Tamandua tetradactyla: one gene and its partners. The protein of the gene in region 3 binds, or shares a complex with, the protein of the main gene of each other region. Links are inferred from orthologs where the notes say so. Each region holds a gene or a part of one and is shown on either strand. Other genes may lie near its edges. The genes, in order: JADE3, KAT6A, ING5 and BRPF3.

What was found.
Region 1: ING5 (region 3) and JADE3 share a complex: the UniProt entries of both Homo sapiens proteins name them as parts of the HBO1 complex. The link is inferred for Tamandua tetradactyla from reciprocal best matches to the Homo sapiens genes ING5 and JADE3.
Region 2: ING5 (region 3) and KAT6A share a complex: the UniProt entries of both Homo sapiens proteins name them as parts of the MOZ/MORF complex. The link is inferred for Tamandua tetradactyla from reciprocal best matches to the Homo sapiens genes ING5 and KAT6A.
Region 4: ING5 (region 3) and BRPF3 share a complex: the UniProt entries of both Homo sapiens proteins name them as parts of the MOZ/MORF complex. The link is inferred for Tamandua tetradactyla from reciprocal best matches to the Homo sapiens genes ING5 and BRPF3.

Annotation. Positions count from the first base shown.
Region 1 is NC_135353.1:123,516,454-123,524,004, reverse strand, and holds the start of JADE3 (protein Jade-3), read left to right. Parts: upstream 1-3,957; 5' UTR 3,958-4,000; intron 4,001-4,105; exon of another isoform or gene 4,106-4,407; intron 4,408-7,551. UniProt on the Homo sapiens protein: Scaffold subunit of some HBO1 complexes, which have a histone H4 acetyltransferase activity.
Region 2 is NC_135329.1:17,626,688-17,635,375, reverse strand, and holds the start of KAT6A (histone acetyltransferase KAT6A), read left to right. Parts: upstream 1-5,102; 5' UTR 5,103-5,203; exon of another isoform or gene 5,204-5,346; intron 5,347-7,396; exon of another isoform or gene 7,397-7,486; intron 7,487-7,792; 5' UTR 7,793-8,116; coding exon 8,117-8,688. UniProt on the Homo sapiens protein: Histone acetyltransferase that acetylates lysine residues in histone H3 and histone H4 (in vitro). Component of the MOZ/MORF complex which has a histone H3 acetyltransferase activity. May act as a transcriptional coactivator for RUNX1 and RUNX2.
Region 3 is NC_135329.1:80,714,849-80,722,689, forward strand, and holds the start of ING5 (inhibitor of growth protein 5), read right to left. Parts: upstream 3,102-7,841; 5' UTR 3,054-3,101; coding exon 3,017-3,053; coding exon of another isoform or gene 2,978-3,016; exon of another isoform or gene 2,926-2,977; intron 469-2,925; coding exon 397-468; intron 1-396. UniProt on the Homo sapiens protein: Component of the HBO1 complex, which specifically mediates acetylation of histone H3 at 'Lys-14' (H3K14ac) and, to a lower extent, acetylation of histone H4. Component of the MOZ/MORF complex which has a histone H3 acetyltransferase activity.
Region 4 is NC_135331.1:92,936,610-92,944,211, forward strand, and holds the start of BRPF3 (bromodomain and PHD finger-containing protein 3), read left to right. Parts: upstream 1-4,417; 5' UTR 4,418-4,833; intron 4,834-7,602. UniProt on the Homo sapiens protein: Scaffold subunit of various histone acetyltransferase (HAT) complexes, such as the MOZ/MORF and HBO1 complexes, which have a histone H3 acetyltransferase activity.

The DNA of each region.
Region 1 (7,551 bases), on a different chromosome or scaffold from region 3:
CCCAGGTTCTTACTGGGGGTTGGTTATACAGGCACCCTCTGCCTAGCATTTACCAAAATTTCAGACTCCCAGAAGGAAAGCAGCCATTCAGCATAAACCATACTATTTGCACAAATAATTTAGGCACAGCGAGCCACTCTTATCCGTTCAGGGAATGGTGCAAACCCTCCTGAAATCCAAGTGCCCAGATACCAGCCAAGGGCCTGCTATGTGAACTCTTTTCTGTGCAACTTCCCAACTCATGTTATGAGGCCAGAATTATCTTAATACCAAAATCAGACCAAAATAGTACAGAAAACAAAAACAAAAACAGCCACAGACTTTTATTTCTCATGAACTTCGACATAAAAATCTGCAACAAAATATTAGCGATGTAGAAGTCAGCAAGGTATAAAAGGAATTACACAATGGCCAAGTGGGGTTTATTCTGGGTATGCAAGGTTGGTTCAAAAATCAATGTTCAATAAATGCTACCTACCATAGCCACAAGCTAAACAAGAAAAATTATATATGATTATATTGATAAATGCAGAAAAAGCTTTTGACAAATTTCAGCACTCATTCATGATAAAAACTCTCAGCATTCTAGGAATATTGGGTGCTTTCTCAACTTGATAAAGAGCATCTACAAAAATCCTACAGCTAATATCATATTTAATGGTGAAAGACTGAACGCTTTCCCCCTAAGATCAGGAGCAGGGCAAGGATGTCCACTCTCATCACTCTTATCCAACATAGTACAGAAAGTTATAGCCAGCATAATAAGGCAACAAAAGGAAACATAAGGCATACAGATTGAAAAGAAAGACATAAAACTGTCCCTATTTTCACAGACTACGATTGTCTAAGTAGAAAACGCCTACAACCAATAACTGAGTTCACCAAGATCATAGGATAAAAGAGTAATACAAAAAATTGAAAGCAATTCTATATACTAATAATGAACAAGGAACGTGAAGTTGAAATTAAAAACACAATATCATTTAAATTGTGCTAAAGAAAATGAAATACTTACATGTACACTTAACAAAACATGTACAGGTTCTGTATGTTGAAAATTCCAAAATGCTGATGAAAGAATTCAAAGATCTAAATAAATGGAGAGATATATCACATTCATGGATTCAAAGACTCAATATAGTAAAGAAGTCAGTTGCCCCCAAATTGATCTATAGGTTTAACACAGTTCCTAACAAAATCACAGAAAGATGTTTTGTAGGTATAGACAAGCTTTATCCAAAACTTATATGGATAGGCAAATGACCTTGAATGGCTAAAACAATTCTGAAAAGGAATAAAGTGGTGGGAATCATTCTACCTATATTAAGGCTTACTTTATAGCTATGCTATTCAAGACTCTGCTATTCACAGAGAGACAGACACATAGATCTGTGAAACAGAATAGAGAATGCAGAAATAGGCAAACACAAATATGCCCAGCTGATGTTTATAAAGGTACAAAAGAAATTCAATGGAGGAAAGATAGTAATTTTAACAAATGATATTGGAGTCATCAGACACCCACAGCTAAAAATGTGAACCTTGACCTTATGTTCACATTTTATTCAAAAATTAAATTTTAAAAATGAATCATGTAAAATGTAAAACTACACATAAGATAAAATCTTCCAGACTTGGGCTAGGCAAAGATTTCTTAGACTTGCTACCAAAAGTACAACGCATAAATGTAAAAATTGATAAATTGGACTTCATCAAAGTTAAAAACTTTTGGTCTGCAAAATACTTGTTGAAAGGATGAAAGGACCAGCTACACAGTGGGAAAAAATATTCACAAATCACTTATCTGACAGAAGATTTGTATTGAGGATATATAAAGAATTCTCAAAATGTAACAGTAAAAACCAAATAATCCAATTAGAAAATGGGCAAAAGGCACGAACAGACATTTTCTCAAAGAGGATATACAGATGCAAATAAACATAAATAAAGATGTTCAATATCATTAGCCATTAGGGAAATGCAATTTAAGACCACAATGAGATATCACTACACATCTATTAAATGGTTAAAATAAAAATATAGTGATAATATCAAATACTGACAAAGATGTAAAATAACTGGATCTCTAATGCATTGCTGGTAGAAATGTAAAATGGTACATCCAGTCTGGAAAATAATTTAGCAGCTTCTTATGCTAGTTTAACACTAAACATATAGCTACCATATTACCTAGCCATTACATCCTTGGGTATCACTAAATACATAGCTACCATATGACCTAGCTATTATATCCTTGGGTATATGCCCTGGAGAAATGGAAACTTAAGCTCACACAAAAACCTCTATATGAATGTTTATAGCAGCTTTATTCTTAATAGCCAAAAGTTGGAAACAACCTAAATGTCCTTCAAAGGATGAATGGTTAAACAAATTATGGTATATTCATAGTATGGAATATTACTCAGCAATAAAAATGAATGAACTACTGATATATGCAATAATTTGGGTGATCTCAAGTGACTATTGCTGAGGGACAACAACTAATCTTAAAAGTTTATATAGTGTATGATTCCATTTATGTAATGTTGTTCCATAGAGATGGAGAATATGTTATGGATTGCCAGGGGTTAGAAGGAGGGAAGAGGGTGACTGTGATTACGAAGGGACTGCAGGAGGAAACTTTGTGGTGGAGGGACAGTTGATTGTGGTGGTTATACGAATCTATATATGTGAGAACACATACATAGAACTATATACACAAATACAGAAATAAGTGCATGTAAAACTGGTGAAATCTGAATAAGTTCTTTGGATTGTACCAATGTCAATATCCTGGTTTTGATATTGTACTATAGTTATGTAAGATGTCACCATTGGGGGAAATTGGATAAAATGTTCAAAGGACCTCTGTGTAGTATTTTTTGCAACTTCCTGTAAATATGTAATTATTTCAAAATAAGTACAATAGAATGAGGTTAAGTCTGAAGTATTTTACAACTTACACTTTTGTATATCATGAAACACTTTTGTCTTTAATATGGAAAACAAACAAAATATCAAAGAGCCTATATTATTGTTTATCCTAGAAATGCAAATGGGAAAATGGCTATATGAGTTCATTGCAACTGCACATGGTATACTTCCAAACCCAGATAGGTAAATTTAAAAGATTGGTTGTTGAAACATCTGTATGTCTGCATTTAACCAGAGAAGCAAAAATACATAGGTTTTATATACAATGCATTAATGTTTTTATGTATAAATGTATGCATTTATTACAAACTATTGGCTCAAAGTATAGTGGGGGCTGATTAAGCAAATCCAAAATCTGTAGAGTAGTCCATCGGTCAGATAGGAGAGATCGTGAGCAGGCTAGAACCCACGGGCACAGGCCAAAGCTGTTCAGCATACGGCGGAATTTCTCTCCAATATTCTCTGAAATGTCAGCCTTGCTTTTAAGGCCTTCCAACTGATTCAGTCAGGCTCACCCAGATCATTCCGGATAATCTAACTTTAATTCGTCTGATTAAGTGCTTTAATTATATCTGCCAAATACCTTTACAATAACACCTAGATCAGTGTTGGAATGAATAATTTGAGGTTACAGTCTTGCCAAGCAGACACACAAAAAGCCACACAACACCATAAATCATTAGTGCCTGCAATGGGATAAATGAAGTCTGTTAACAGCCATTATGATTTTGTTATTATAGCTAATTAAAGTACAAATAACCTAAATCAATGGCGGCTGATCACGACTTTGAGCTATGAGAGTTCCACTTACAGAACTTTAGAGTTAGAAGGGGCCACAAAGAGTTTAGCTTGTATTTCAACACAGCCAAGTCACCTCCACCTCGTCCCCTCTGGCTTTTAGTCTGGCTGGAGCTCCTCCCCGAAGCAGCACGCCCAGCAGGAGGGGTGAAGAACCCACCTGAAGGACAAGTGTCGCGAGTGCAGGAGCGTTGGGTGGGCGGAGCTTTGAGACCCTCTGCGCAGGCGACGGCGCCCGCCCGCCAGAAGAGCGCGCGGCCAGGAGACGGTAGGGAGCCTGTTGGGGAGGGCAAGCGCGGCCGGTGGGGGGTGGGAGGAGGAAGGAAGGGGAAGAGGCGGAGCGTGGGAGCGCACAGTGTCAGGAATACAATAGTGCTGCGCGCCGCCTCGGCCGCCGCCACCGTCGCCCAACCGCAAGCTGCCCAGCGCTGAGGCCTGACGGGCCGGGTTGACGAGGGCCGAGGGCGGGAGTTGAGTTGCGGGGGGCTGGCCCTAGCGGATCAGGCGGCCGGGGCTGAGGGGCGGGGGTAGGGAGGGATTGGGGGCAGGTGCGAGGGAGGAGAGAGAAGAAAGCAAGCGGGTAGGGGGGCGGTTACCATCCCTACCAGACTCGCCCGGCACATTGCCGGGCCCTACCGTGGAGACGGGAAGGAGCCGCGACCCCGCTGAGCGAAGGTAGGCGCCACCGAGGCCAGCTGCGGGGCTAGCAGGGTTGCGGGGCGTCGCGCCGACAGAGGGAGCGGTGGCCTCAGGGAGTCGCAGCGGGCGGCGCGGGCGCAACGTCCCAGCCCTGCCTCGCTACGTTTCGGGCCGCTTCGGCCCCACACCGCAGTCCCCTCCCGCGTGCCCGGCGCCCTCGCCCGAGAGCGTGAGTGGGCAGAGTTGGATTCCCGGAGGTCTTTCCCGGGCTAGGCAGTGCCTGGTGGCCCGCGCGGGGGACGCGGAGGGCGGACGCTCGAGGTCGGCAGCCTGTCTTGGCTCCAACCGGGCAGGAATTGAGCGCCATAACTATTGCGGCTGTTTTCTCAGGTGCTTCTTCCCGGTGCTTCCCCGCCCCGGTCCTCTGCTGGGTTTTGAGGTTTGCGGGGTCAAATCCGCGGCTGCACGGATCTGCTCCGCGGGCCGCCTGGGGCGGGATGCTCTGAGGAGAGAGGGCGTGCCCTGGCTGGTTAGATACTGAGGTGAATGTGGGGGGCGGGAAGAACCGAATGCCTAGAGAGGGGAAGACCAGTGGTGCCGGGGAGCAGCGAGGCCGCTGGTGGGCCCCAGTGCCCACCGAGCGCGAGGGCGGGCACCCCGCGGGCTCGCGAACTTTCCCTCCCCCTCAGGTCATTGTTCGGACGCTGCCAGTCGGCTGCCGCCGAGTGCTGGGCGGTCGTGGGAATGGGAAAATCCTGAGGGCTTTCCAACTCTTACCAGAAATTTCTCCCTTGTCTGGGCACGGCAAAGTTAACTTTTTTCTTAAGCCATCAACTTGGTTTTAGTCCCTACGCCTTGGGGGCAATCTGTGTATGTGTGTGTAGAGATAGATTGATTTGGCTCTCTCCAGTCTTTTTCTCCTGCTTTTCAAAAACGCTGCTTCGGGAAGTCTGACTTTAAATTGCACAGGATAACCTGCGTTTATTATTTGTGAGGAGGAAAAAGGGGCGGGATCTCGAATGAGTGACCACTGGTGGTTCTGTGAAGGCCTGTTTAAAAGTTGATATCGTCGGGTAGCCCTGGGGCATGTAGCTCCTAGGCAAGAAACTTGTTTAGTGGGAGCTACTCTGACATTTTAAGTTGAAAGGAAATCCATGGTCTCAGGTATGCGTGAGATTTTGTTATTATTTTTATTGTGAGATCCGTTTATGAAGCTGAAGCTGAGGCTGAGATCCGCCCCCGCCCTCATTGTAAAACCGTGTTGATGATGATTCCAGTGGCCAGGAGGGAAAAGTGATCTCATTCCCTGTACTCAGTCTGATACAGATAGCTGTCTGCTTCTCTGTAAACTCTTGAAATTAATGAAAAATAATTTAGGTAAAAAATGATTGCACAACATCTTGGCTTAGTTTAAGCAGCCTGAGAATCCACTTTCTCAGAGTAGTTAGGTCTTAAATATCTTCCCTGCAGCCACTTCTTGTCAGCCGGGAAAGGGGAGAGTTGTTAAGAGAGGAGTCCGCCTGAGTAAAGTATTGGAGTTTTTATTTAGTTTAATACTTTAATAAGATCTGTAAACAATGGAAATGTGAATCCCAGCTTTTGCACCCCTTGAATATTGTAGTTCTCATGCTTTTGTAGCATCATGTGATTACTCTGCGTAAGTGAGAATAGGTGCGTTTTTAAAGTTTTTTTTAGCCCAGGACTATTCAACCTTCGTGACATATTTTCTTTCTCATTTAAAATGGGGTCTAAGCTTAAATACTTAAACTGTAAAAGATTAATACATCTCTTCAAGGGGTGAGAGGATTACATGAGATCTTAGGGAAGCACTTCTTAAAGCCCAGCACGTATTAAGTTCTCAATCAAATGTTAGCTACCATCATTGCCACATTCTCTACAACTGTGATCTTCATAGTTTTGTTTGCTAAATAGAAGAGCCTTTAATGCAATATTGTCACCTTGAAATAGTTCCTTCATGCTCTGTCCAATGAATTCTGGAATACTCAGGGGTGCAGCTCTGGTTCTAGAATTCATGCTTTCTTTCTCCCCATTTTTGTGAGTCATGTTGCAGTGTCTTGGCAATGTGAAATAAATGCCTTCTTGATCACAGGTAGGGGAAAGTGGAGAAACGGCTTCCCAGCTCCTCCCTGAAGTGTTGGTGATGAGCTGAGAGCCAGCAGTGACTTGGAAGCAACCTTGGGGAAGCCTCTGATGACCTTCTATAGAGGAGATTAACCCTGTGGACTGTAGAGGACGTTATCAGGAACAGGACAGGTGATGGTGCAGGGCTTTCATCATAGTCGAGAAGTGTGGGTTGGCAAGAGTTAAAATACAAAGCAAAGGATGTTGAAATGGGAGGCTTGTAGACTGAGCATGATCCACTGCTTATCTTTTCCCTCCCTTGTGTTGTACCAACTATAAAGACCCATTTCTTTCCTAAGCTACACAAAGCTATCTCTTCTTTTTGTCCATTACTATGAGGTCTGGTTGGAACTGGGCATGCATTTTTTGAGGAGAGATGGAGGTGGCAAAAGGGGTCGGATGTTCTTGAAACCATGGCATTACAAAAGACCCTTAAAAGTCTTATTCCAGGGTGCAGAGATAAGGGCCAAAAAGGAGATTGAACATTATCATAGGGCATAATCCATGTACCTCCTCATGGAGCTAACATGACATGGTAGCTGAGGAAGATAAAGGTCATATACTGAATTACACATTAAGAAACTCTCTTATTAGGGGATAATTTACTATAACCTTTACTAGGTGAGGAGTGGGTATTATGTGACACCTATTTGGAGCTTTCCTGAAATGTCTAATATGGGGGCACTTGACAGTTCACAAGTTTCTCCTTGTTATTCCACTTATAGTGACTGGGAATGTGGAAGTGTTTTGGGTTACGGGGTGGGGAGGATCTAAGATGAGTGGGGTAGACGTGATGAATGCTAACTTCATGAACAAAAGGGTGTTAACTAGTGATCATTACAGGATATTAACTATCACTGAGTTTTCTATTTTCTTGAATCTTTGTGACTCCTCCATGGTTATTTTTGCCTCCCCTCTGTTCATGAACAGTAGCAGCAAAGCTCTTACCGTCTGTTGGGTATTGAATCATGTACCCCACAAAAGACAAGTCTTTATCTACATTCCTATGGGGACCTTTGAAGTTAAAGTGTAGACTCA
Region 2 (8,688 bases), about 63 Mb from region 3:
ATCTGAAAGGAAGAATGGAGTTTCAGGTGGTCTCATGGTGCTGAAGGAATAAGTTTTAGAGTTTAGTTTCCACTGGGGTGAAGCCTCTGGAGCACACAAGGTTGGAACCCATGCTGTAGGATTAGAGGCAAAACAGAGATAAATAAGCCTTGCTGAAATCCAATCTCAAAGTAGCTCAGTTTTCTGCTTGAGTAAGGTAATCAACTATCATTCTGACTGCCTTGCAAAGGAAAAGGTGAACACTCTCTAGATAAAGATAATATTATCTAGATTCTCTACAGTTTTTCATACTTAATATGTGGCATTCTATTAAAAATTGCCGCAGGCAGGTCACGAGACAGGGAAATAATGATCAAAAATCAAGGTAAAGTATAATAAAAGAAAAAAATAATAAAAAAATAAAAAAACAAATCAAGGGAGAGTATACATAATAGAAATAGACTTACAGGAGATCCAGATATTATAATTACCAGAAAAGGCTTTTAAATTACTAGGACTGGAGGTGTGATGGTAGTTCAGTGGTAGAATTCTTGCCTGCCATGTGGGAGACCTGGGATCAATTCCTAGCCCATGTACTTCCCAAACAAACAAGCAAGCAAAACAAACAAAATTCAAGAAACGTTGCTGCAATGAGGGGATACTCCATTGGAAAAAGAATGAAATGTGACCCCTGCCATACAGCATACAAAAGAAAAATAAAACAAAACAAAAAGCTAGGACTGATATGCTCAAGAAAATAGAGGGAAAGATGGAGAAAATAAATAAAAAGATGTAGCATTTCACCAATGAACTGGATATATCTTTAAATCCTATGAAAACTGTAGAATTTAAATACACAATGACCAAAATTAAGAATGGGTTTAAGAGCAGATTAGACAGATGAATAGAAAACCTACAGACTTACACACCAAGAGAGAAAAAAGGAGCAAAAAAAATGATGGGAAATACACATGGTGAACAATGAAAAATTCTGACATATATAATTTAAATCCTAGAAGAAAAAGAGAGACAAAAGATAAGCCACAAATTTAAGGGATCCCATGAGTAATAGCCATTTGTTCATGAAGCTAAGTGTACTGAACACAAAGAAAACCCAATCTAGACACAGCCTAGTAAAACTGTCAAAAATCAAAGAAAAAAAATCTTAAAAGCAGCCACAGGAAACAAAAACCATTATCTTTAAAGTTGTAACAAAGGATTGCTGAAACTAGAAGACAGTGGAAAGACAACTTTAAGGTGCTAAAAAAAACTTGTCAAACTACAATGCTATCCCCAGCAAAAATATGAAGGAGAAAATGAAGTTTTTAAACAAACTTCCCTACCACAGCCTTCCTTTCAAAACATCACCTTCTGACTCTGCCTTAACTTTTTTTACTTACTTATTTTTCCAAACTTCTGGAGTATTGACCATTTATCCTATTAATTTGGCACTTGGTATATGACATATTCCCAGATAAATTAAAGGCTCTTTTACCATGCCTCCCCATATGAGGAGAATTTTGTCAAGAGTAGACCTGCTCTCAAAAGAGAAGTATTCAAACAAAAACAAAATGATTCTAGATAGACGTATCGGACAAAGGTCATGGATTCTTCTGCCTGACGCTCTCAATAACCAATTCCTGAGACACCAGGGTTTCAAAGAGAGAAAGAGATTATTACTACACGTGTAGTAATACAGCAGATGGCCTAATGGCCCAAAATCTGTCTCCCCAAACTGCAGCAATTCAGGTAGTTTTATTAGAAGAAAGGTGGGCGGGGTTTAGAAGAATGAGTACTGTGTCCCAGATGATGTAATTACAGGTGATTTGATTACTGAGTCTGTACAGATTGATTATATGCCTAGTCACCGAGTGTATGAAAGAAAATGGCAGAATGGGGTATAGGTGACTTGTAGGTCAAAATCTAAACCACTGCGCAAGTTGGGTGGGCCCACTTAAGTTAAATCTAGTCTTGGTCATCAAGATAATTTGGGACTTGGGGTGAGTTAGTTCCGGGTGGACCCAAGACCCTCCAATAACAATCATAAGGGGCTAGCTTTAGTGATTACAAGGCTCTAAAGTTGAAAACCTGGATACTTAGGTACAAATGAAGGTTAGTCACAAAGTTTTTACAATCACAGGGGCAGAAGATAAAGGCTATACAATCATTATCAGAGATCAAGGCAGCAGCTGGATTACAATTCAGAGATTTCAGAAATTTCCCTGACTTTTCCAATATTCCAGAAAGCAAAAAGGAATATTTATATAACGATTCACCAACCAAAACCATCCCTTAAATCCTGATTTCTCGGTTACAGAAGCACACAGTGGAATGAAGAGTAACATAAATGGCAAATATGTAGGTAAAATAAATATTCACATGGATCGACAATACAGAATAATAATAATTACAATATCTTGTACAGCTTAAAATATATTCACAATTAAAATGCATAACAGCAATAAACACATAAGGAGGGGGTAAATGGAGGCAAAGTATTCTAAGGTATTCTTTGGTAAGTCATAAAAGTAATATTATATTAGAGTGTAAGGAGTCAAAAAAAGGCTTTTTGTAATCTCTAAAACCACTAAAAGAATATGTAATTCAAAAGCTAATGAGGGGGTTAGTGATATAATCGAAATACTTCAATGAATTTGAAAGAAGACAAGAAAGAGTAAGAGATAAAAGAGGTGGGCCAACTTGAAAAAATAATAGGATGGAACACATAAATCTAAATACAGCAATAAGTATATTAAATATAAATGGACAAAAACTTTTCCTATTAAAACCTGGTCAGACTAACCTTCCAATTTTGGGATGAGCTGGACTATAGATAAAACAATTATCAACTGCATCTGGAAAGGCAGGAATTTCTAGAGCAAAACGTGGAAGAAAGGAATAACATTTAGCTGCCCCCCAGGGCTGAATTCTGAATAAAGGTTGAACTAAGGAAAACTGCCTTCTTGGAGCTGAAAATTGTTTTCTAACTTGCAAAGGAAGAGGACTTTCATTTGTTGGTGTTCTAAACCTTTTATTTTGAGGAGACCCCCAGAATGTGCCATTTAGTTATGCAAATGTAAAGCAAAGACTCTCTAAGAAAGCTGTTTGAAAAGCTAAACTGTGCTTTGTTATTGCAAATCGTTTTAAATTCTTACTGTACTGTGTTTAAATCCCAGTCTGGTCTTTTCACTGGGGATGGATATGGCTGGTTTTCTGCCAAATTACCCCAGAGCAAGCACAACTGTATTTTCTTCTGAACACAACACACTCCAGTAACACATTTTTCTATTAGTATGATTTTCTCTGAGACCTCAAATAATAGCTTGCCTTACTCTCATAAATGAAAATTTGCTGTTTTCTGGATGCGTTTTTAACACGGGGTCCCCATTTTACCTGTATGGAAGATATCCTTTCTAATAGATTATCTTGATTCCCAAATTTCTCCCCTAGTTTGGGGATGGAGCTTGGAAGTAGGTCATGAAGGGTGATTCAGTGTCAGAATATTGAGTGAGCCAAACCATTATTTGAAAATTTAAGTTTTTTGTTACTAATGAATCGTCTCGACAGTCTATGGTACAGAACAACAAGGCTTGAGTGGAGAAGGGCAACAGATAGCAAAGCATGGGTTGGTATATGAACAAGACAGGACTTGAGGGGGATGGTGATGTCATCTCCTAGTGGTTTAAAAAAGGTTCATTCATTTTTGAGTTTCTATTATTTGTACAACAGGCTAGGCAATGAAGATGCAAAGAGGCATGGTATAAGAGCCTTTAATTGATCTGGGAATATGTCATACATCAAGTGCCAAATTAATAGGATAAATGGTCAATACTCCAGAAGTTTGGAAAAATAAGTAAGTACCAAAGTTAAGGCAGAGTCAGAAGGTGGTGTTTAAAAGGGAAGGCTGTGATAGGTGTTAAGGAGGACAGCCTAGGCAGGGGCACAAAACAGATAACAGTTCAGTAGCAGGACTATATTTCCACATAAAAACAGTAAGCATTTACTATATCTTTTCATTTGTCATTCACTGTCTTTCTAGCGAATGTAGAAAAAATGTATGACAATCTCCGCCTCAAGGAGTTTAAATCTAGGTGAGAGTCAAGACAAAGAAACACATGCAGCTATGAGAGGACAGAGAGACCACAAAAAAGTGCCAATTTATGTTAGACAGAAGTAATTCTGCACAGGGCATGAACAGAACGCTGGTTTTGGAATAAGACAGAACTAGGCACCAAACTCAGATGTGTCTCTCTACTGGGTGTGTGACCTTGTGCAAGCCACATGACCTGAGTCTGTGCTTATTCCTATAAAAGTGGCTCGAGTAAAGGCTAACGACTCTTTCGGCTGTTGTGGGGGAGGATGAAGTGAAGTCCTGTAGTGAAAACGCTTGACATAGGTGCCTAAGTTCAGCCTCGCCTACCCCGCTCCCCCCCCCACCCCCTCCCCCCGCCCCATTGCGCCTATTCTCTTTCTTACCAGCAGCGATGATGATGTCCAGGGTGAGCAGAAACAAAAAGATGAAGGAAGCAGCTTCCTCATTTCTCCCGCCCCCCACCCCTACCCCCCAACTTCAGGTTCTGGGAGAGTCACTGTGGAAGTGGGGTAGGAGCACCGATTGGGGAGGGAAGATCTGTTAACTGTAAATCAGACGCCACCAAGAGTTCTTATCCTGTCCGGCTACCGGATTTCCGTGCCATTCTGAAGCCACCCCACCCATACGCCTGCCCTCAGTTTCCTCAGCTGTGTAATGGGGATGAACAATCTCCTTCTTTTCCCTGGTATCCGCCTGACCTAAACGCGTGAGAAAGACGAGAAGGAGCCCCCAATTGTTGGCCTCTAGCCCCATCAAGTCCTCCTCCCACTTTGGCTTTGGCCTTTTGTATGAGCCCCACGTGACCCACCCGGCCGGCTCTTCCCTTTTGCCCCACCCGCCCTCCGGTCTTTCCCGGCTCACGGTCTAGCTCTTCCCGCTCCCCGACCGTCCCCCTCCCGCGCTTCCCTTTAGCCACCCCCCGACCCCGCACCTCCCTCTCAGGCTGTTCCCTCTCCCTCCCCCAGGCAGCCGTTCCCTCGCGACGCTTCCCCTCCCCCCGCGGCTGTTCCGCCACCTCGCCTCCCCTCCCCCCGGCCGGAGCTCACTGTCTCCAAGATGGCGGTCGTGTCAGTTTGGGGCATCTCCGCGGTCTGGCTCGGGGCCTCGGGATCCCGGCTCTCCTCCTCCTCGGTAAGTAGCCGAGGAGCCACTCCTGACCACCCCCGGCCGCCAATCCTGAGGCTGAGCCGCTCCGGGACTCGCTTCGCTTCCTCGCGGGGTCGGAGGGCCGCTGCAGGCCCAGCCGCGGCCTGCGCCGCCTCCCGCTGCTCTGCGCCAGGCCTCGGGCAGGGGCGCCGCGGCCGCCCCCTCGCGCCGAGCCGGCGCCGGGCTCCCCCCCGCTCTGTGGCTCGCGCGCCGCCGGCCGGCCCCTCACTCATGGGCCCAGCACCCCCGCCTCCCGCCGACCGGGCCCAGCCCGGGGGAGCTGGCGGGTGAGCGGGCAGCGAGCGGCCCAGGCCGCGGAGCCTCGGGCTGGGCTGTGACGGGGAGCTCGGTTTCCCTCGGGGACGCGCCCACCGCCCTGGCCCCACCTGCTCCCGGCCGCTCGCCCCCGGCCCTGTCCGGCCTCTTCTCCCCGCGCTCCCTGGCGCTTGGTTTTAGGTCTCCTGTCCGGTGCGCGGAGATCTGAGCGGGCTGAGGCGGCAAGTGGGGGTGACAGGCTGGCGGGTGTTGTGGTGCGGAGGAGGCAGCACGTGTGGTGTTGTGTCTGTCGGGCTGTCAGCCCCGCTCCGGGAGAGGAAGCGGCACGCTGACAGTCTACCCTCGGCCGGTTTAGACCGGAGCTGCCCGACCTGTCAGACACCCCGGGAAGCCTGTGTGCCCCTCACGCCTCTTTTGAACCGCGCTCCGTGGAGCTTAGTATTTGGAGCAGCTGGGAATGGGAGATATGTTGCTCTTAACTCCTTCACGTGATTTCATTGTTAACTTCTTCGGTTTCTGTTTCCATCTAATGGAATGGCGAAGCAACCCGTTGGCAAGCTGCAGGGTTGTGCCGTTTCAAGTTTTTAAAGTTTCTAGCTTTTTAAAAAGAGAGCACGAAGATGTGTTTGGGAATATGGTATGGGGACCGGGGAAGACTTCCGGAAGCAAGTTGTGATTTCTCTAGCTGCTGGTGTACTTTCAGAGAGTTAATGTTCAAGTCTGCAGGCGCTTTACTTTCTGAAGACCTGAACACTGACGAAGATCCCTGCCCGAGAGACAATGAGTAACTGTCATTCATTCTTTTTACCTTAATCAATTAGGACATTCCTGGCTTCTTAAGCTCAGGCTGTAGCTTCTTACCTAGTTTAGCGTTACTGTCTACATAATGAACTTTCTTGGAGTACTACGATGATTTCTATCCTCTTGAGCCCCTCACCAATATTAGGCTTATTTCTCTCAGGGGTTTTCTTTTTAGTCAGCTGATTTTAAAATAAGTCTTGGCTCAGGTTTGAATGTTTGCGTCAATCTCATCTTACCCATCAGAGTTAATAGTACTATATCTTTCCTAATGCTTATTCGTTTTTTCTTTTGATTTTAATATCACTCCTAAGAATGGTTGTTGTGGGGGCCGTTTTTCTAGCTTTGTTTATGTTGTGATATAAATACTCCTGGAGAAGAACAGAAATTCTAAAAAAAATTAAAAGTTAAATTTATTTTTTGAAAGTATAGGAGTTATTTAGATTCAGAATTCATTATTTTGGTTTATTTATAAAATTTGTATCTGTGTATTTGTATACGAAAGAAGATTCACTTTGATCCTGAAGAGACAATCCTTGCTTATATATTTGTGTTTCATTCATTAATGTTCATTTCAGCACTACAGTCAGCAATCTTGAATTCAAATCTTTGAGATCCATCTCCTCTTTAGACTTGCCAACAGCTAATACATTTTTTCTGCACTGTACATTTGATGTGTAGTGTGTGTACTTGACCTCAGTGACCCTCAGCCTTTCTCATTTCTAGTTTCTCTATCTGTAGATTGGTTAGAAACAATTTGACTGTCACTCCTTCCATTTTATGGGTGTTAGTATTTTAGTTTGGGTTAGAAAAAACATTAAACATCTGTTCTTAAAATTTAGATGAAATTGTATTAATTTGCATTCTTTAAGCATTTTTCCACACTTGGCTATTTTTAGTGTTAATTTGTTTCCATTTGGAATATTTAAGGTAATATTGTACTTAAAATATGAGCTTGGTCTATGTAAATTGTATTTGTTGTTTCTTTTCATGTATGAAATAGTTATATTTTTCAATGTGCTTTTCTACCTTACTGACTGTTTTTATCCAGTCTGAAAATCTGGAGTTTTGAAAGATGAAAGATTCTCTGTTATTTCCTTGCAGGTTTCTTTCTACTAATCCATTTGCTATTCAAGTGCTGAATAGTTTCTTCTTGGGGAAAGATGTCAAGGAGGAGTTGAAATTCGTAGACTGGTGAGCAGCGATTGCCTAGAGACTAGCCAGCACCTTTTTGGTTAGTCAGAGCCTAAGGTCCTTCAAAGAACATCTCATCTTGTTTCTTCATTGTATTCTAATTATTCATTTTCTTTCCTTTCCTTTTTACTCCAATAGCTTACATACATGATTGTTTTAGAATGTTGATAGAAACATTTTAAAACTCCTACAGGTGCTCAGTAAGCATTTGCTGTTTTACTGTTTTAGAAGAGTAGGATATTTCAGTGATAGCTTGTATACAATAGGTCTTGATAGAAAACTGACCTTATTTTAATTGTTTTTCAGGTATAAGATGCACATTTTTCTAATGTGAAGCTGGAACTGAGGTGTTCCTGAGTTCTTACAACTTTATGGAGAGAACCTGGTATGGTGCTGTTATGAAATTTACTGGAAGTGTGAAGACATATCAAATAACAGGTTGTTTTGGTTTCTGAAATAAAGCTAGGGAAGCATTCTGTTTTGCGAAAGGAGAAAGGAGTCAGGCCAGAAAACTTGTATGCTATGGTTAACTGGTTCCCAGCCTCCGAGAATCTTTTTTTCCATGGTGTGAAATTTACGCAGCATCAGGATAAGGGATAACGACTCTATGGATATACAGAATCCTTCACCATGGTAAAACTCGCTAACCCGCTGTACACGGAGTGGATTTTGGAGGCCATCAAAAAAGTGAAGAAGCAGAAACAGCGTCCTTCAGAGGAAAGGATATGCAATGCAGTGTCTTCATCCCATGGCTTGGATCGTAAAACTGTTTTGGAACAATTGGAGTTGAGTGTTAAAGATGGAACAATTTTAAAAGTCTCAAATAAAGGACTCAATTCCTATAAAGATCCTGATAACCCTGGGCGAATAGCACTTCCTAAACCACGAAACCATGGAAAATTGGATAATAAGCAAAATGTGGATTGGAATAAACTGATCAAACGGGCAGTTGAGGGATTGGCAGAGTCCGGTGGCTCAACTTTGAAAAGCATTGAACGTTTTTTGAAAGGTCAGAAGGATGTGTCTGCGTTATTTGGAGGCAGTGCTGCCTCCGGCTTTCACCAGCAGTTACGATTGGCTATCAAACGTGCCGTTGGCCACGGCAGACTTCTTAAAGATGGACCTCTGTATAGGCTTAACACTAAAGCAGCCAATGTGGATGGGAAAGAGAGTTGTGAGTCTCTTTCCTGTTTACCTCCTGT
Region 3 (7,841 bases):
AAGGGGTGGACATAGGAACAGGAGGTATTGGTCTTCCATAGTATAAATGAACAGATGAAGTTTAAAACCAAAAGGGAAAAAAATAAAGAAATAACAGCAAATATACGTTGTTCAGAAATAGGGAAATCCTATCTAGCTTTGCACACCATGCACATGTAGTTAAAAAACAGAAATTCTTTTAAGAGGAAAGCTAAAAGTAACAAAAGTATTTTGAATGGAAAAGAGCATTTATAGTAAGAGTTATAGTAAGGATCCAAGAAGCTAAATTTGATGACAATTGAATGAGAACTCTGTAGGATACTGGAATACAGCCCCAGCTTGGGGCTCTGCGGCAGACCTGGCCATCTCCCCCAGATGCCCCTCCTAGAACCAGAGCTGGCTTCCAAACGTGCCCACCTTCTGTCCTCTGGTCCAGCTCTCGCATCAGCTGGAAGTTCCTCTGAAGTTCACAGGGAAGGTTCTCGATACCTGAAACACAAAGGCATCAGGCTCTGTGGAATTTATGAGAATAGGACAAAGCTTTGCCTTCAAGGTTTTATATCAAATTCAACAAATAAAAAACTCATTTTCTGTTTCTGTTGGGGCTTGGGAGGGGAGAGGGCTAAAATCTCTTTATTCAGGGTTGGGTACCAAACAACGCTGTCAACAGGCTGCCCACTTCAGGAAGGGAGGAGGTGGAGGTATGCTGTGAAACAGCTGCAAGTAGGACAGGGAAGGAGGCCCAGGGTGGGCAGACATGCCGACTGAGACCCCATCGCCCCCTGGCCACATGCTCACTGTCTAGACAGCAGCACAAGTCCTGCACATGGCAGGAAGCAATCAGCATTGTCCTCTTCCCACAAACAAAACAAAAGGGAGGATTGGGGAGGTCACAGGGCTCTCAGTGGATCCCAACCCAGCCCACCAACCCCACAGCTAGTGCCAGCTGTAGCACGTGCCCTGCCTCTGAGGACAGAGGCACCCCCTGTAAGGCAGAGGCGCACTGGGTTCCGCTGGAGCAGAATGGAACGGCTTGAGAACGCTCCTCTGGCTCATAAGAAAGACTCCTCTCTGAAATCTTTTCTTGGAAAGAGTTGAATCACTTTGGTTCCTAATCAATATAGCTTGAAGGAACAAATAATGCCAGAAAACAAGGCAATTACTAGCAGCAAACTATCTGCAGTTCATGAGGATCTGAAAAACAATAAAAATACTAGTGTTCAGCACAAACTGGAGAGAAGTTCAGACGAAGGGCAAAGCAAGTGCAAAAAAGAGGGGGTGGCGTTAGCTGGATGTGAACAGGGCACAGAGGCTCATCCTCCAGGCCATCTTCATCTTCTACCTCACTGGCCAGAGCCAGATCCCTCTTGGAAGGCCCCTCAAGTACCCGAGATTCCACAGTTCATTCCCCCAACATTTGAACTCATTTCAACACAAATTCTTAATAAGTCCCAGGCACATGGGGGGGAAGGTGGTAATGAGAAAAAGAAATCCCTGCCTCCCCAGGACAGTGTCCATTTCCAACTCTGGTGAATTAACATGGTACTTTCAGTCTGTGATGGCTAGTAAGCAGAGCTCTGGGCAAGTAGGCAGGTTGGGGTCACTCTCCCTGAAAGACAGGTGCTCTGATGCTCTGAGGCTGTGGGATGCAGGCAAGTTACATAATCTTTCTGTGCCTCAACTTCCTCACCTGCAAAGTGGGGATAATGGCGGGACCCTCTGAAGGGTATGGGTGGGTTAAAGATGGCCCATGGGAACTGGACTTCAGTGTTACTCAGTTTTAACCAAAGTTATATTGGAGCCTGCAGCCTTCAACTGCTATACTGAAGGGCCCCATACCACAATGCTGCCCTGGGCCCCACACCACACTCCTGGTCAGAACCCCAGCGAGCCCCTCCCATCCACTCTCCAAAGCCAACCAAGTGAATCCCCAGTCCACCCCGCTCAGGCCCAGGATCTGCTGGGCTGCACCCTCCATCCTACCAGGGCTTTGCCTCTGCCACCTTGCAGGACAGTAATGACCCTGTGCTCTTCACCTACCGCGCTCCTTGTCGCCCTTAGGCTTCTGTGACCCTTCTACAAATCCACCTTCCCCATTAGCTGGTGAATTCCATGGAAGTGGAAGTCATGTCTGCAGTCCTGGCACACCAGCCCCAGTGCCCCTCCTCCTCCTTCCTGGGTACCCACGACGTTGGGGAAACACCTCTACTCCACCACCTCCTTGACTTGGCTTTCCCACCAACCCATGCACCTCTGCTCGGGCCAGAATGGGGCCACCATGCCCTCACTGCCTAGGATCCGGTGCGCCACCAGCATCCTGCGCCCAGGGAGGTGACTTGGGGAGCTGGCCCGGGGAGGTGACCCAGAGAGGTGATCCAGTGAGAAGGTCCGGGAAGGGCACCGCAGACCCGCCCACTCCGGAGCTCCGGATTCACACACCGGGTCCGCCAGCTGGGCTCGGGCGGGTCCCTGCACCTCTCCAGGCCTCGGTTTCCTCGTATGCAACCTGGGAGAGTCGCCATCGACTCAAGTTTCCCCGTGGAGCAAGCCTGTGGTCACATGTAAGGCAAAGGGAGCCGCTCCGGACACGGGCACCGGGGAGAGGCTGAGGGCGTCAGCCCAGGCCAGCGGGGGGACCCGGCCACCGAACGGCCCCCAGCTCAGCAGACCACCCCCTCCCGAGAGGTAGCAACTGAGGCTCGGCGCTGGGAGCCCGCTCTGGTACCAGCTAAGACCAGCGCGTCCGGCTGGGAGGGGGCGCGCGGCCGGGGCGGAGGCGTGGGTGGCCCTGCCCCGCCCTCGGCCCCGCCCCTCCGTGACGCACCTCGAAATCGCCCGGAGCCCGCGCCGCGTTCAGGGCCGCGCCCGCCCCGCCCCGCCTCCCGCCCGCGCGCGCGCGCGCTCGTCGAGCGTCGCCCCGCCAGCCCCCGGCCGCCCTCACTAATCTCCGGCCGCGGCGCGCAGAAGCTACGCGCGAGGAAGCCAGGCGGCAGCGGTCATGCAGCGGCCGGGCCCGGGAGGCGGGGCGGGTGCTTACTGTCCAGGTAGTGCTCCAAGTACATGGCGGTCGCCATCTTCCTCCGCGGCCGCGCTGGGGCTCTGCGCGCGGTCGGCGCGGGTTGCGAGGCGAGGGGCGGGGCCGGCCCGCATCTCATTCACTATTCATAGACCGCGGGCACTGATTGGGGCGCGGGCCGCCGGGGCGGGGCGTAAGTAGGGCCCGCCCCCCAGCTTCCGCTCGGCGCCCTGCGGGTGTGCGCCGCCCCGGGTCTGGGCCTCCGCCGGGTGGGCCGCAGCGCCGGAGGGCGTATGGGCGTAGAGGCACAGTTGGCGTGCGGAGGCCTCAGGGGCTGGGAAGGGAACGGTGGCCATTCTCGCGGTTCTAAGCTCGAGGCACCCGGTGTGCACCTCCAGCCTGCACCTGTTCGCGGCCGACCCCTACTCTGGTCATCTGGGCTAACACGTGCAGGCTCTCGGCCCCCGAGGTGTCGGTGAATCCTGTCTGTCATTCCCAACCCCACCCCACCGTCTTGTCGCACCGCAGTCTTTCCTGCCGACCCAGAACTGGAGGAGGAGCCGAGGGCGGACGGCCACCTACGAGCCAGGGAGAACTGCCTGTACCTCCCATCTCTGGTCTTGCCGCTCCGATCGAACTACTTGGGCCTCTGCTTCTTCCCTTAAACTTGCAGAGGATGTGACCCACCCCTCCTCACCCCTCCACTGGCAGTAGCTGCCCCCACAGCATCAGCCTTGGCATCTAATAGACCCACTGTCCAGTCCACTTTGGGGTCCCTTGAGCAGTACCTGTCACGTGGAAAGTGTTGAGAGTATGACTGAATGCAGCCTTTGTAACGATATGATTCAGTGTTAAAGGAATGAAAGAGCGTGAAAAGGTGTATCCTGAAGTGGATGTAAGAGTGCTGGAGGAGAGTAAAAAATGGGTTTAGAAGGTGCAATTCGGGATGATGCTTCCCTTCTGTGTCCAGACTCTGATGTCCTAGCTGCTGGTGCGCCCCTGGACCCAGGTTCCTCCACTCCCTGCCGCCCCAGCCTGGCCTCCCTAGCTGATTTTTAGGCAGAGGACTACCCTTGGGTGATGTGGCCACTTCCAGGGCCAGCCCCTATTCAGATAATTTCTCCTCGCTCAGAAGTTAGCCCAAGGTAGAGATTGCCCAGGATGTTCCCAGCCCTGAGGGGACAGATGACTTATAGCCAGAACTAGCCTGAGCCCCAGGTCCCTTCCCACAGTCCACATGAGTTGCTGAGGCTGTGGGTCACCCAAATTATCATAACCTGACAGATGCAGATGTCATGATTTTGTCATTTAAAACCTATTCCTAAAGGTAGGCCCCCCTTTGTGAACTGTTCCGCAAACTGCAGGCAAATACTGCAACAGATACATACACGTTCTATTGCCAATTTTCATTCATTATTTCCTACCTCCTGAGGGTGCAGGACTGTGACTGTCTTGCTCATCTTAGAATCTAAATGATTGCAGTTTGGGGAGCACCCGTCCAGGCCCCATTTAATGCTTGCACAAAGAAACACACGCATGCACATGGATTTTTAATGTGATCGCACACTACCCATATTTCTACTACTCGCTTTTATAACTTAATACTCTGACCATGAACTTCTGGCCCCCAAACCTTAATTCTGTCTCATCCTGATTACTGGATAAATTTTACTGTGTTGATGTATCAAACTGTGTTTAACAAACTCCTCACTAATATGGTAATGATTTGACTCTTTCCAGTTCTTCATTATGATAAATAATGCCCTGGTGAACATCCTCATGCATATGTTCCTGTATGTATCCTTCTGTTCTAGGTGTGTATTGTTGCGTAACAAAGTACCTAAGAATTCAGTGCTTTAAAACAACCGTCTCTCAGGAATTCCAGCAGGGCCAGCTGGGTGATTCTTTTGTTCTGTGACCTGACAGAGACCACCAGCTTCCTTTGGGATCCTGGTGCATTGGCAGGGTTGAAAGGCAGGGTTCAGCTGGGACTTTGGGTGCTAACACAAGGGCTGGTCCTGCTGTGGGCATGGGGGCAGAAGGCAGCAGGACCCCCCCAGGGAGGTGCGTGTTCGTACCGCAATGTGGTCTGCCTTAAACACGAGGTGCTGGCTGCCCACACAACCAGGTCACGTGCATTTGGACACCAGCAGGGGCCTGCAGGGGCTGCTACCTCAGCTCAGAAGAAGCCACAGGGCAGAAAACGACACACCAGTGCTGCTGAGGTAAGGGCTGCTGCTGAGGTAACTTGGGGGTTGGCAAGTTATGATGGGTAGCAATGTCTATCTGAAGCTTGTGTAAGAGCAACCTCCAGAGTAGCCTCGACTCTTTATTTGAACTCTCTCAGCCACTGATACCTTATTTGTTACGCTTCTTTTCCCCCTTTTAGTCAGGATGGCTAAATTGCTCACAACTGGTTGCTCAGACCATGGCTGGAGCAAGAGGTGGGCCTAGAGAAGGCAAAGTGGGCACAAGGGCAACCCCACGAAATGATAGGGGTGCTAGGGAGGGCTTCCTGGTAAACTGGGGTGTGGCTGGAGGCAGGTGAAAGTCAACTGGCCATGAGTGTATAATTGCCGAAGCTGGCTGATGGCCACACAGGGTTCACTAGGTTCTTCTCTCTACGTTTGTTTGAAGTTTTCCATTAAAAAAGAAAGTTAAAGGAGCAGTAACATCCAGTCGTTGGTCCTTTGCTGACATTTCCATCTCACAGGAATTGTGTCAGACTTTGCTAGCTATCCATTGAATCTCACCTGCTGCCCTGAGGACCCCACTTCCCAGCCCCTGTGCAAGTAGAGTGGCCACCAGTGGCATGGGACAGAAGTGGGTATCCTCTGCACAGTCGCCCTCAGACAGCAGGTTTGTGTCTTCCTTGATGCACTCCCCCACTTCACTACTCCCCACCTGGCCACGCCAACTACGGTGAGGCCCCTGGGTGGAAACGACCAAAGAAGGATTCTGATTCCTTGGGTGACCCCATGGAGCAGGTTGCACACCGACCAGGAATGCCACAGAAGAGAGAATTAAAACCCTGCCTTTACTAAGTGGGATTTCTACATTACAGAGGCTTAGGTTACCCCAAAGTGGTGGTCCTTAAAGGGAGGCTGGAAATGTCTGGAGATGTTTTGATGATCCCAGCTCTACGCAGTGGGTAGGGGCCAAGGAAGCTGCTAAACTTCTCTCAGGGCACAGGACACCCCACCCCACAGAAGCATCCCACTCGAAATGCCAACTTCAGGATGAGCTCCCAAGCAAATTGGGATATGGTGCAATGCCCATGGTGGTGGTGCGGAGTGCTGAAAAGAGGAAGGAGCTGGGCCACCAGGGTCTTGGGTCTTGAGTAGCTGGGGTGCAGGGAATATCCTTTGGTTGCAAGAATTTGCTCAAACTAGCACAAGTAAGTGATTTGCCTCCAACTGTACCTTCGCCCAGCTGGTCACCCCTCTTTGATCAGTTAGCATGCCTTTAGCTGCAAGTACCAGAAAACCAGCTGTGGCTCCAATCGTCACATAAAATGGTCTCACATAATAAGAAACTTAGAGTGAGAGTAGAACCACTTCTGCCAGTTGGTGCTGTCAAGTGTTGAGGTTGTTGCAGTTCCGTTGGCTTTTCCGGATTGCCGGGTGGCTGCAGTACTGCCTGGCACCCAGTTCTTATGTCCTCGTCCTGACGTGGGTGTAGGAGTCCCTTTGTGGGGGACACTCAGCCTCCTTTGTGCTTTTGCTTTGCTTTGGCAATTAAATCTCAGACCTGATGCTCAGCAGCCTGGAGCTGTAGAGGTAAAGGGCTATGAGTGTCGCCTTTCGCAGGACTCAAACTTGAGAACTTGCTGTGCTGGTCCTGCCTTTTTCTTTGTGTAAGACATGAAAAGTGGTTAGCCGAAGCCGGCCACCTCCACATCCCCATAATCGTTGTATTCTCCACACAACTCAGGTGTTTAACTGCTTCACCCTCCATGCCGCATCCCAAACCACCCCCAGCGAGAGGCCATGGAACCATGAGGCTGCCAGGGTGCCTGGGTTAGCACTGCCCGTCACCACCAGCAAAGGGGTCTGTGTTGTCGTGTCACTGGGGAGGGGGCCTGTCCCAGATCCCAACCTTGAGAGGCTGCTTTCCTGATGCCAACTGTTTCTCCAGATTCACCCAGAAAGCAGAACCTGGACCATGCCTGCAGGCAGGGGGCTCATTTTGGAAAGTGATCCCTGGGAGTGGGAGTGAAGATGAGGTCTGGGGCAAGTGGAGCAGAGAAGGAGGAAAGCCGTTACTGGGCCTGCTCCTTCAGTGATGCCCCTGAAGATGCCACACCCCAATCCCTAGAACCTAGGGATATCACCTTACATGGGGTGTGTGTGGTGGTGGTGGTGGGGGTTGACTAAGGACCGTTAGGTGGGTGGTTGTCCTGGGTGGTCTGGACAGGGCTGTCTGGGCCCCTGCCTAACCTGAGAGTTATCTTCCTTGTACTTATCCTTTTCAGGTCAGTCAGATGGGCATTTTAGAAAAAGAGGCAAAAATCAGACAAAGGGATATCCCTTTTATTTTTTTTACCTAGTAAGACAATACCAAGCAGTAGTCGTATCAGTCAGCGTTCACTTGTTTGTGCTGCAGTAACAGAGGATTCCAAAATCTCAGTGACATGCAATCACAAAGGTTTCTTCTTGCTCCTGTTACTTATCAGCTACAATGGCTGCAGCTCAGCTGTGGCTCCATTTTATGGTTTTCTTCATTTCAGGACCCAGGGAGAAAGAACAGCCCTATTGTGTGCCTGCTGTTCTCATGCTGGGGGTGGAGGGAGAAGACAGCACAACACCAATTATTATTTTTTCTTTCTTGTAAATGCAATTTTATT
Region 4 (7,602 bases), on a different chromosome or scaffold from region 3:
TTTTCTTTGTGTAGGTCTTTTGTATCTTTAAATTTATTCTTAAATATTGTATCTTTAAATTTATTCCTAAATATTTTATTCTTTTGGTTGCAATTGTAAATGGAATTTTTTTCTTGATTTCCCCCTCAGATTGTTCATTACTAGTGTATAAAATCACTACAGATTATTGAGTGTTGATTTTGTAACCTGCCACTTTGCTGTACCATTTATTAGCTCTAGTAGTTTTGCTGTGGATTTTTCAGGGTTTTCGACATATAGCATCATATTATCTGCAAACAGTGAGTTTCACTTCTTCCAATTCTGATGCCTTGTATTTCTTTTTCTTGTCTAATTGCTCTGGCTAGAACTTCCAATGCAATGTTGAATAACAATGGTGATAGTGCACATCCTTGTCTTGTTCCTGATCTTAGGGGGAAAGTTTTCAGTTTTTCCCCATTGAGGATGATGTTAGCTGTAGGTTTTTTATATATGCCCTTTATCATGTTGAGGAAGTTCCCTTCTATTCCTATCCTTTGAAGTGTTTTCAACAAGAAAGGATGTTGAATTTTGTTAAATGCCTTTTCTGCATCAATCGAGATGATAATGTGGTTTTTCTGCTTTGATTTGTTAATATGATGTATTACATTAATTGATTTTCTTATGTTGAACCATCTTTGCATACCTGGGATGAATCCTACTTGGTCATGGTATATAATTCTTTTAATGTGCTGCTAGATTTGATTATCAAGAATTTTGTTGAGAATTTTTGCACCTATATTCATTAGAGAGATTGGGCTGTAGTTTTCTTTTCCTGTAGTATCTTTGTCTGGCTTTGGTATGAGGGTGATGTTGGCTTCATAGAATGAGTTAGGTAGCTTTCCCTTCTCTTCAATTTTTTTTAAGAGTTTGAGCAGGATTGTACTAATTCTATCTTGAACATTTGGTAGAATTCACATGGGAAGCCATCTGGTCCTGGACTTTTCTTTTGGGGGAGCTTCTTAATGACTGATTCAATTTCTTTACTTGTGATCGGTTTGTTGAGGTTGTCTATTTCGAGTCAATGTTGGTTGTTCATGCCTTTCTAAGAAGTTGTTCATTTCATCTACATTGCCAAGTTTATTAGCATAAAGTTGTTTATAGTATCCTCTCATTATTTCCTTTATTTCTGCAGGGTCAGTGGTTATGTCTCCTCTTCCATTTCTGATTTTATTTATTTGCATCCTCTTTCTTCATTTTGTCAACCTCGCTAAGGGTCCATCAATCTTATTGATTTTCTCATAGAACCAACTTCTGGTTTTGTTGATTTTCTCAATTGTTTTCATGTTCTGAATTTCATTTATTTCTGCTCTAATCTTCATTATTTCTTTCCTTTTGCTTGTTTTGGGGTTAGTTTGCTGTTCTTTTTCTAGTTCTTCCAAGTGGACAGTTAATTCTGTGATTTTTGCTCTTTCTTCTTTTTTGATATAGGCTTTTAGGGCAATAAATTTCCCTCTTAGCACTGCCTTTGCTGCATCCCACAGATTTTGATATCTTGTGTTTTAATCTAGCTTACTTTTTGATTACAGTCTACTCAAGACAAAGCCCACGATTTCCTTACCTTTATATATGATCACTAGACCTTTTCTACGTTGATTTTGTCATTATTTTCCAGAGTCTTGATGAGCGTTGGATACATAGTAGGTGCTTAATAAATGTCTATTATAGGAATAAATGAATGGAATTTAATTTAGAGAATGTGGTGCTCTATTTAAAATCTGTTGTTAGCCTAACTAAACTTTTTTCTTTTTCTAAGCAAACTTCGTATTCTTAAACCATTTTCATTACACCATATCACAATGATTCCAATTTCCACATTCTTCCCAACCTGTGGTTCTAGAATTCTTTTACCCAAGGTCTAAATGAGGAATAGTCTATTAAAAATAATTTAACAATCAGTCAAAGTCTATTTTTATTTAAATCAGTGGATATTGAACATAACCCTGAAGAATGTTCTTGCCTCGGTAAACAAAATTTTTAAGAATAATAGTAAAATGTTGACAAAGATGTCCGAGATGCTAAAAAACATGGGGGTGTGGGTGTACCTTTTGTACTCACGTTCACTCTTTTAGTCTTAAATGATAAAACATTCTCCTGATGTTAATTTCTATTTCAAAAGAGACAGCACTTTAAAGACTAGCATTTAGAATCAAAGACCCCGCCCCTATTCATTGAACTTAATTGCTGTATGGCCTAATTGAAGGCCAGGGTTGATGTATTTAAAGTCTTTAAAAGCTAATGATGAAAGTGAATTAAATTTAGTGCCTCTGGGATTTCTGATACACATTTCAAATTTGTTTTCAATGATATAATTGTTACATGTTACATTTAAGATTACATCATAGCAAATTGGTTGTGTGTGCAGTTACACTAATAATAACCAATTGCAAATGTCAAAAACGAAAGTGAAGACAACTAATGTTACCATTAAAAAAATGGAAGTTGAATAGCAAATAGAAACACTTAGGCTGAATATCGTCTTAATAAGAAAGCTTCTGAATAGAAAAACCTAAAATCATATGCATTAGATTGTCTTAATGCATTTCAACAGCATTAAAATCATTACTCTCATGTTTCAAGTGGAAACCAATGCATATTCTCAAGGTACTCATTTATTCATTTTAGTGAGAAAAGATAGCTTTCAATCACATAAATGGGAGTTGTGCTAAATCAATTTTGAATATCCATCAAGAAATAAAAGTTAGTCATATGAATAAGTGGATACTGTTTCCATATTTTAAAAGAACAAGAAATTCAGTATTTTTGTTTTTGTTAGTTATCAGATTATTTTTTCTTAACTAAAAGTAATTGCGATACTTTTCTTGCCTCCGGGGCTTTCCCTTCCACAGTTGAACATTTCTTCTTTCATACCTTCCCACCAAATGATTATTCCCCCTGGCCTTAAAACAGTTGAATTTAATTCATACTACTTCATCTTCACAACTCTCAAAACACTGCCCTAGCTCCCCTTTGGCTCCGCAGGTTCTCCCGCTGCACTGGAGCAAGAGCGAGCTTAGCTCCACAAGCCCCTCCCCTTTCTTTCTTTCTTTTTTAAAACTGGTTAATAGAAATATTTTTATATTATCATTTTGCTAAAACGTACTATGAAGCTAACCTGAAAATTCTTTGTAACATAAATTGGCTTCCTTATTTTTATCTAACGTTTAAGTGCAAAACCCTGTATATTTAATTCCTTAGGATAAAGGACATCTATACTTCAAAAGTGGCGCTATGTTCAGTTAAAATATTTGGAAAACAGTGCTTGGATCTTAAGACTTCACCCTTCATCCTCCTGACAATAACAAATGTCCTTGGTTATCAGAACCAAGCAAGAAATTGTCTCAAGCTACACCACCAGAGCCGACAGAGGAAACGCTTTCAAAATATGTCATTCATCTTCACATTTAAAGGCAGCCTATCCCTACATCCTTTATAAACATCATTAAATATTGGTGCTTAAGACTTCAGTCATACAAGGTAAGCGTTCCAATTTATAGGTAAAAAGGGGTAAGCAAAAGGGCCTTTTTCTCTTCAATTTATTTTTATCAGAACAAAAGCCAGTTTGATTACAGCTGAAAGTCTGTAGTTGCCATTTGTCAAGCATGCTTTAGAAAGCCGCCTAGTGCATTTAATTAACCGACTCTCAGCCAAATCAGGTTTAAGAGTCGCGTTTCCCATACCTAGAATGATAAATGAGTTACCAGACGTCCTTAAGTAGACCGTCAAACTTTTAGGTTTACTCAGTTTAAACGCAGAAGGGAGAGGACGGCATACAAGGAAAAGTCTAGTCTGTTCCTTAAGATGGCTTGGGAGGAATGAGACGCTCACCTGTACACAACAGAGGCGGGTCTTCCCCGGCTGTCCTCACTGGGGGAGGGGATGGACATCGCTAGACCTTTGTCCTCGGGACCTGGGCTTGGGGAGTGTGTGTGTGTGTGTGTGTGTGTGTGTGTGTGTGTGTGTGTGGTGAACGACGACCTTCTGGGAGCAGTGCAGGCACCTGCACCCCAAGAAACTAAGACCGGTTTCTCCTTCAATAATCCCAGCGGCTTAACCTTTCGGGGGGGTATACTCCCGCTCGGGGAGGGGGTTTTCTGTCCAAAACCTTAATCATTACCCCCGCAAAGACGGGGGAGGAGACGACTGAACCCCATTTTAATAGGCAGAAACTCTTGTCTTTCCCAACTAGACTGGAACGTCCCCAGTTCTCTCGCCGGGCTCGCCCCGCGGGGCCACGGCCGGGGTGACTCCCGGCAGCTGCCGGCGTATACCCGGTCTCCGCTCGGTGCCCCCGCCGCGTCCGCACCGCCACCGTGAGGCCGAGCGGGGGACGGTGCCCCGTGGCGGTGGCGGCGGCGGCGGCGGCGGCTCCACGCTTCTCTCCGCGCCGCCCCGGCCGCCGCCGCGCCGGGCATGGGCGGGGGGATTTTTTTCCCCGTTTCCCCCCTCTTTCGCGCTCTCGCTCCAGTGCAGCGGGAGAGCCGGCGGAGCCAGGGAGGGAGCGAGGGAAGGGGTGGAGGTGGCGGGGGGAGGCCGGAGGGGCGGATCCTGCCTGGGGGCTGATCCCTCCCTCCCCTCCACCGGGCTCCGGGCTCCGTGGCGGCAGCGGCGGTGGTGGTGGCAGCTCCATTCCCCCTCCTCCCCCGGGAGCAGCGGCCGGGCCGGGGCCCCAGTGCGGGCCGGGCGGGGACACGGCGGGGGCTGGCGCGGGAGGAGGCCGCGCACCGCTCTCCGCTCTCCGGGCCGCGCCGACCAGCTCAGCGGCCGACCCGCCCGCACCCTGGGGCCCCGAGCAGTGGAGCTGGGCCGGCGACTGAGGTAATAGGGGCGGCAGCGAGGCCGGACTGCGCGGGGGCGGGGGCAACGGGGCCTTCGGAACCAGGGACTGTGCGGCGTGGCGGGGATCGGGAGACCGGATAAGCGGGGAGCTTCCCGATCGTGGCAGAAGCGGCGCAGAGGCCCTCTCCGGAGCGGGGGCGGCGACGGGGAAGGGAAAGGCGGGTGAGGGGAGAGCTGAGAAGCGGAGACCCCCTCCTGCAGCCGCCATCTTGTTTCCCCACCGGCCCTGGAAGCCGAGCCACCGAGCCCCGCCCCCCTCATGCTCTCCAATTGGCCAAGCTAGAGTAGAGTTCCACCCGCAGCACGTCCCTTGGCCCCCTCCCCGGGTTTCCCTGACGGGCAGGTGCGGTGGCCAATGGGCGCCCGCTTCTCTTCCCGGCTGGTTCGCTGGCGCTCTCTTTCTGTATCTGCGGGTCGGACTTCGCGTCAGTCTGTCTCTGGCGCGTTCGCCTCCTCCCTTTTGGGGTGGAGATGTTATTTCCCTCCTTTCTCCTCCTGGGGGTCAAGATTCTTCTGGAAGAGATGTCCCCTTAAAGGGGCAGGATCTTGGCCCGGGTCTTCTCTTGTCCCACGAGTATCTTGTGTGGGGTGTCGGGTTACAGTCTAGTTGCAGAAATTCCTCTATCCTCGGAGACTTTTCCCCGGTGGGGTTGGCGAGTGGGGCAGGGGGTGCGTGCCGGGGGTGGTTGGAGATTTTTTCGGGGGTGTATTTGTGAGAAGGGCTGCGTTGGATGAGAAACTCCCGCCAAAAAAATCCGTCTAGACTGTAAGCTTCCTGAGGGCGAGACCTCATTTCATTTTCCTCAGCAGCAGCCTTTTCCCTTCCAGGGTTTACTCCCCACTGTCTAGTGGCTCGGATATTGGAATGGAAAGGTCTCCAGAGATACCAGGTTGAGAGATACCTGAACTGCCAAGGGTGTAGTCAGTGAGGAGGAGGAAGACAGAGTGGTTTTGATGAAGGGAGGGCCTACACCCTCTCTCCAAACTGTTTACTTTGAGGACTGAAGTAGATTTTCATACCTCTGTTAGGGTCTCCAAGCCTTTGGTGGTGAGGGTGGGTTGCCACCAGGCTGTCCCCAAGGACTTGGCATTTGTAAAGGCTTCTGGTAGCCAAGGGCTCTGGAACCAGGACAGAATTGCTGTGGTGATTGTTTCCTTTGGCTCATCCTGCAGCATGCCTTCTTGGCACTATTCCTTGGCAAAGTTACTTAGTTTGTCTCAGGCACACTTTGTAACTGGAAGACTTCTTAAATAAGGATGTTAATAATGCTTTACTAGCAAATATCAATCCTTAAAAGTTAAGTTCTATAACTCTTATGCTACTACTGGAGTTTGGAGACATAAAGAAAGTGACTTTCTCCAGGTCACATAGGGCCCAAGATTAGAATTTAGATTGCCCAGGACCTCTCTTGATTCCAGACTATGACATTTCTGGAGCATTTTTACCTCCCAGTGAGATGAGTGGAGCAGATCAGATGATCTGGGTTTATATTATAGCTTTATCACTTAATAGCTTTCTATTGAGTGAAGCCTTTCTGAACTTCTGTTTCTTCTTCTGTGAAATGGAGACGATAATATCTCTTTTCCTTCCCAAGCTGGTTGTGAGAAATAATAAATATGAAAAGGCTTTGTAGTGTGTAAAAGTGTGCTAAATTACTACTGTCTGTACTTTCTAGATAAAGATGATAGATCTTGCAACCAAAATGTGAACTGTTTTTCTCCTTGAAATTCTCTCTCTGTTTATACTCATCCAAGTGTCTACTCATACCTTGGGGCAGCGTAATCCCAAATGTTCTATTAGTAATAGCATCAGTAACTGCCTAATACAGTTTCCTAGAGCTTGTCATAGTTCTATCCAGAAAATGATACGGGAAACTTTAAGGCTTTCTCTTTGTTGCTCAAGGGTAGCCATGATATAAGTATTTTAGAAGAGAAGGACTTTTGAGGGTACAAGATGCCCTGAAAGTTTACCTCTGACACTTGTGATTTCCTTGGCCTTGGCACCAGTGAGGGTCCCAGACAGACCATTTATGACTTCAGGAATCTCTTGGGGCCCCTCACAGAGCTTCGAGGATTTCTGTTTAGAAAAGTACTGGCCAGTATGACCTGAGTGCTGGCTTTTGCAGGAAAAACCCTGCACACAGTAATTTTGAAGCCCTTAGACCATATATGATAAATATTTCAGAGATGAACTTCATCCCTGGGCATGGTTTTGGGATATAGGGTTTCTGATCATGGTAAGATGGGTTGCTGGACGGTCTAGACCTGTGAGTTCCCCTATTCATGTACAGAGCTTGAAAGTGGTAGCTGTTGCTTTCTCCTTTTTTTGAAGCCTTAAACAGCCCTCCTTTTCCAGAGTTAGTTGTCCCACAGCCTTATGTACATCATTACATTAGGTTACATTAGAACATTAGATTTCTACCCATGTCACATGTAATGATCTGTTTACTTCTCTGTCCTTAACTCAGCACCTTAAGGGCAGGGATCACGTGTTTGATTTTTCCTTTCATTCAACAAATACTTGGTGCTCACTTCTAAGTCAGGTACCATTCCAGACACTTGGGATATAAAACACGATGAAAGATAGGTAGCTGGCAATGGGGAGAATGAGGGGGGGGGTTTGCAATTTTAAATCGAGATGTCAAGGAAAGTCTCTGAGAAGCGATGTTTGTGAAAAGACTTGAAGGATGTGAAGGAGCAAGTCTTGTAGATACCTGACGGGCAGGTTGTCCAGACAGAGGGAACAGC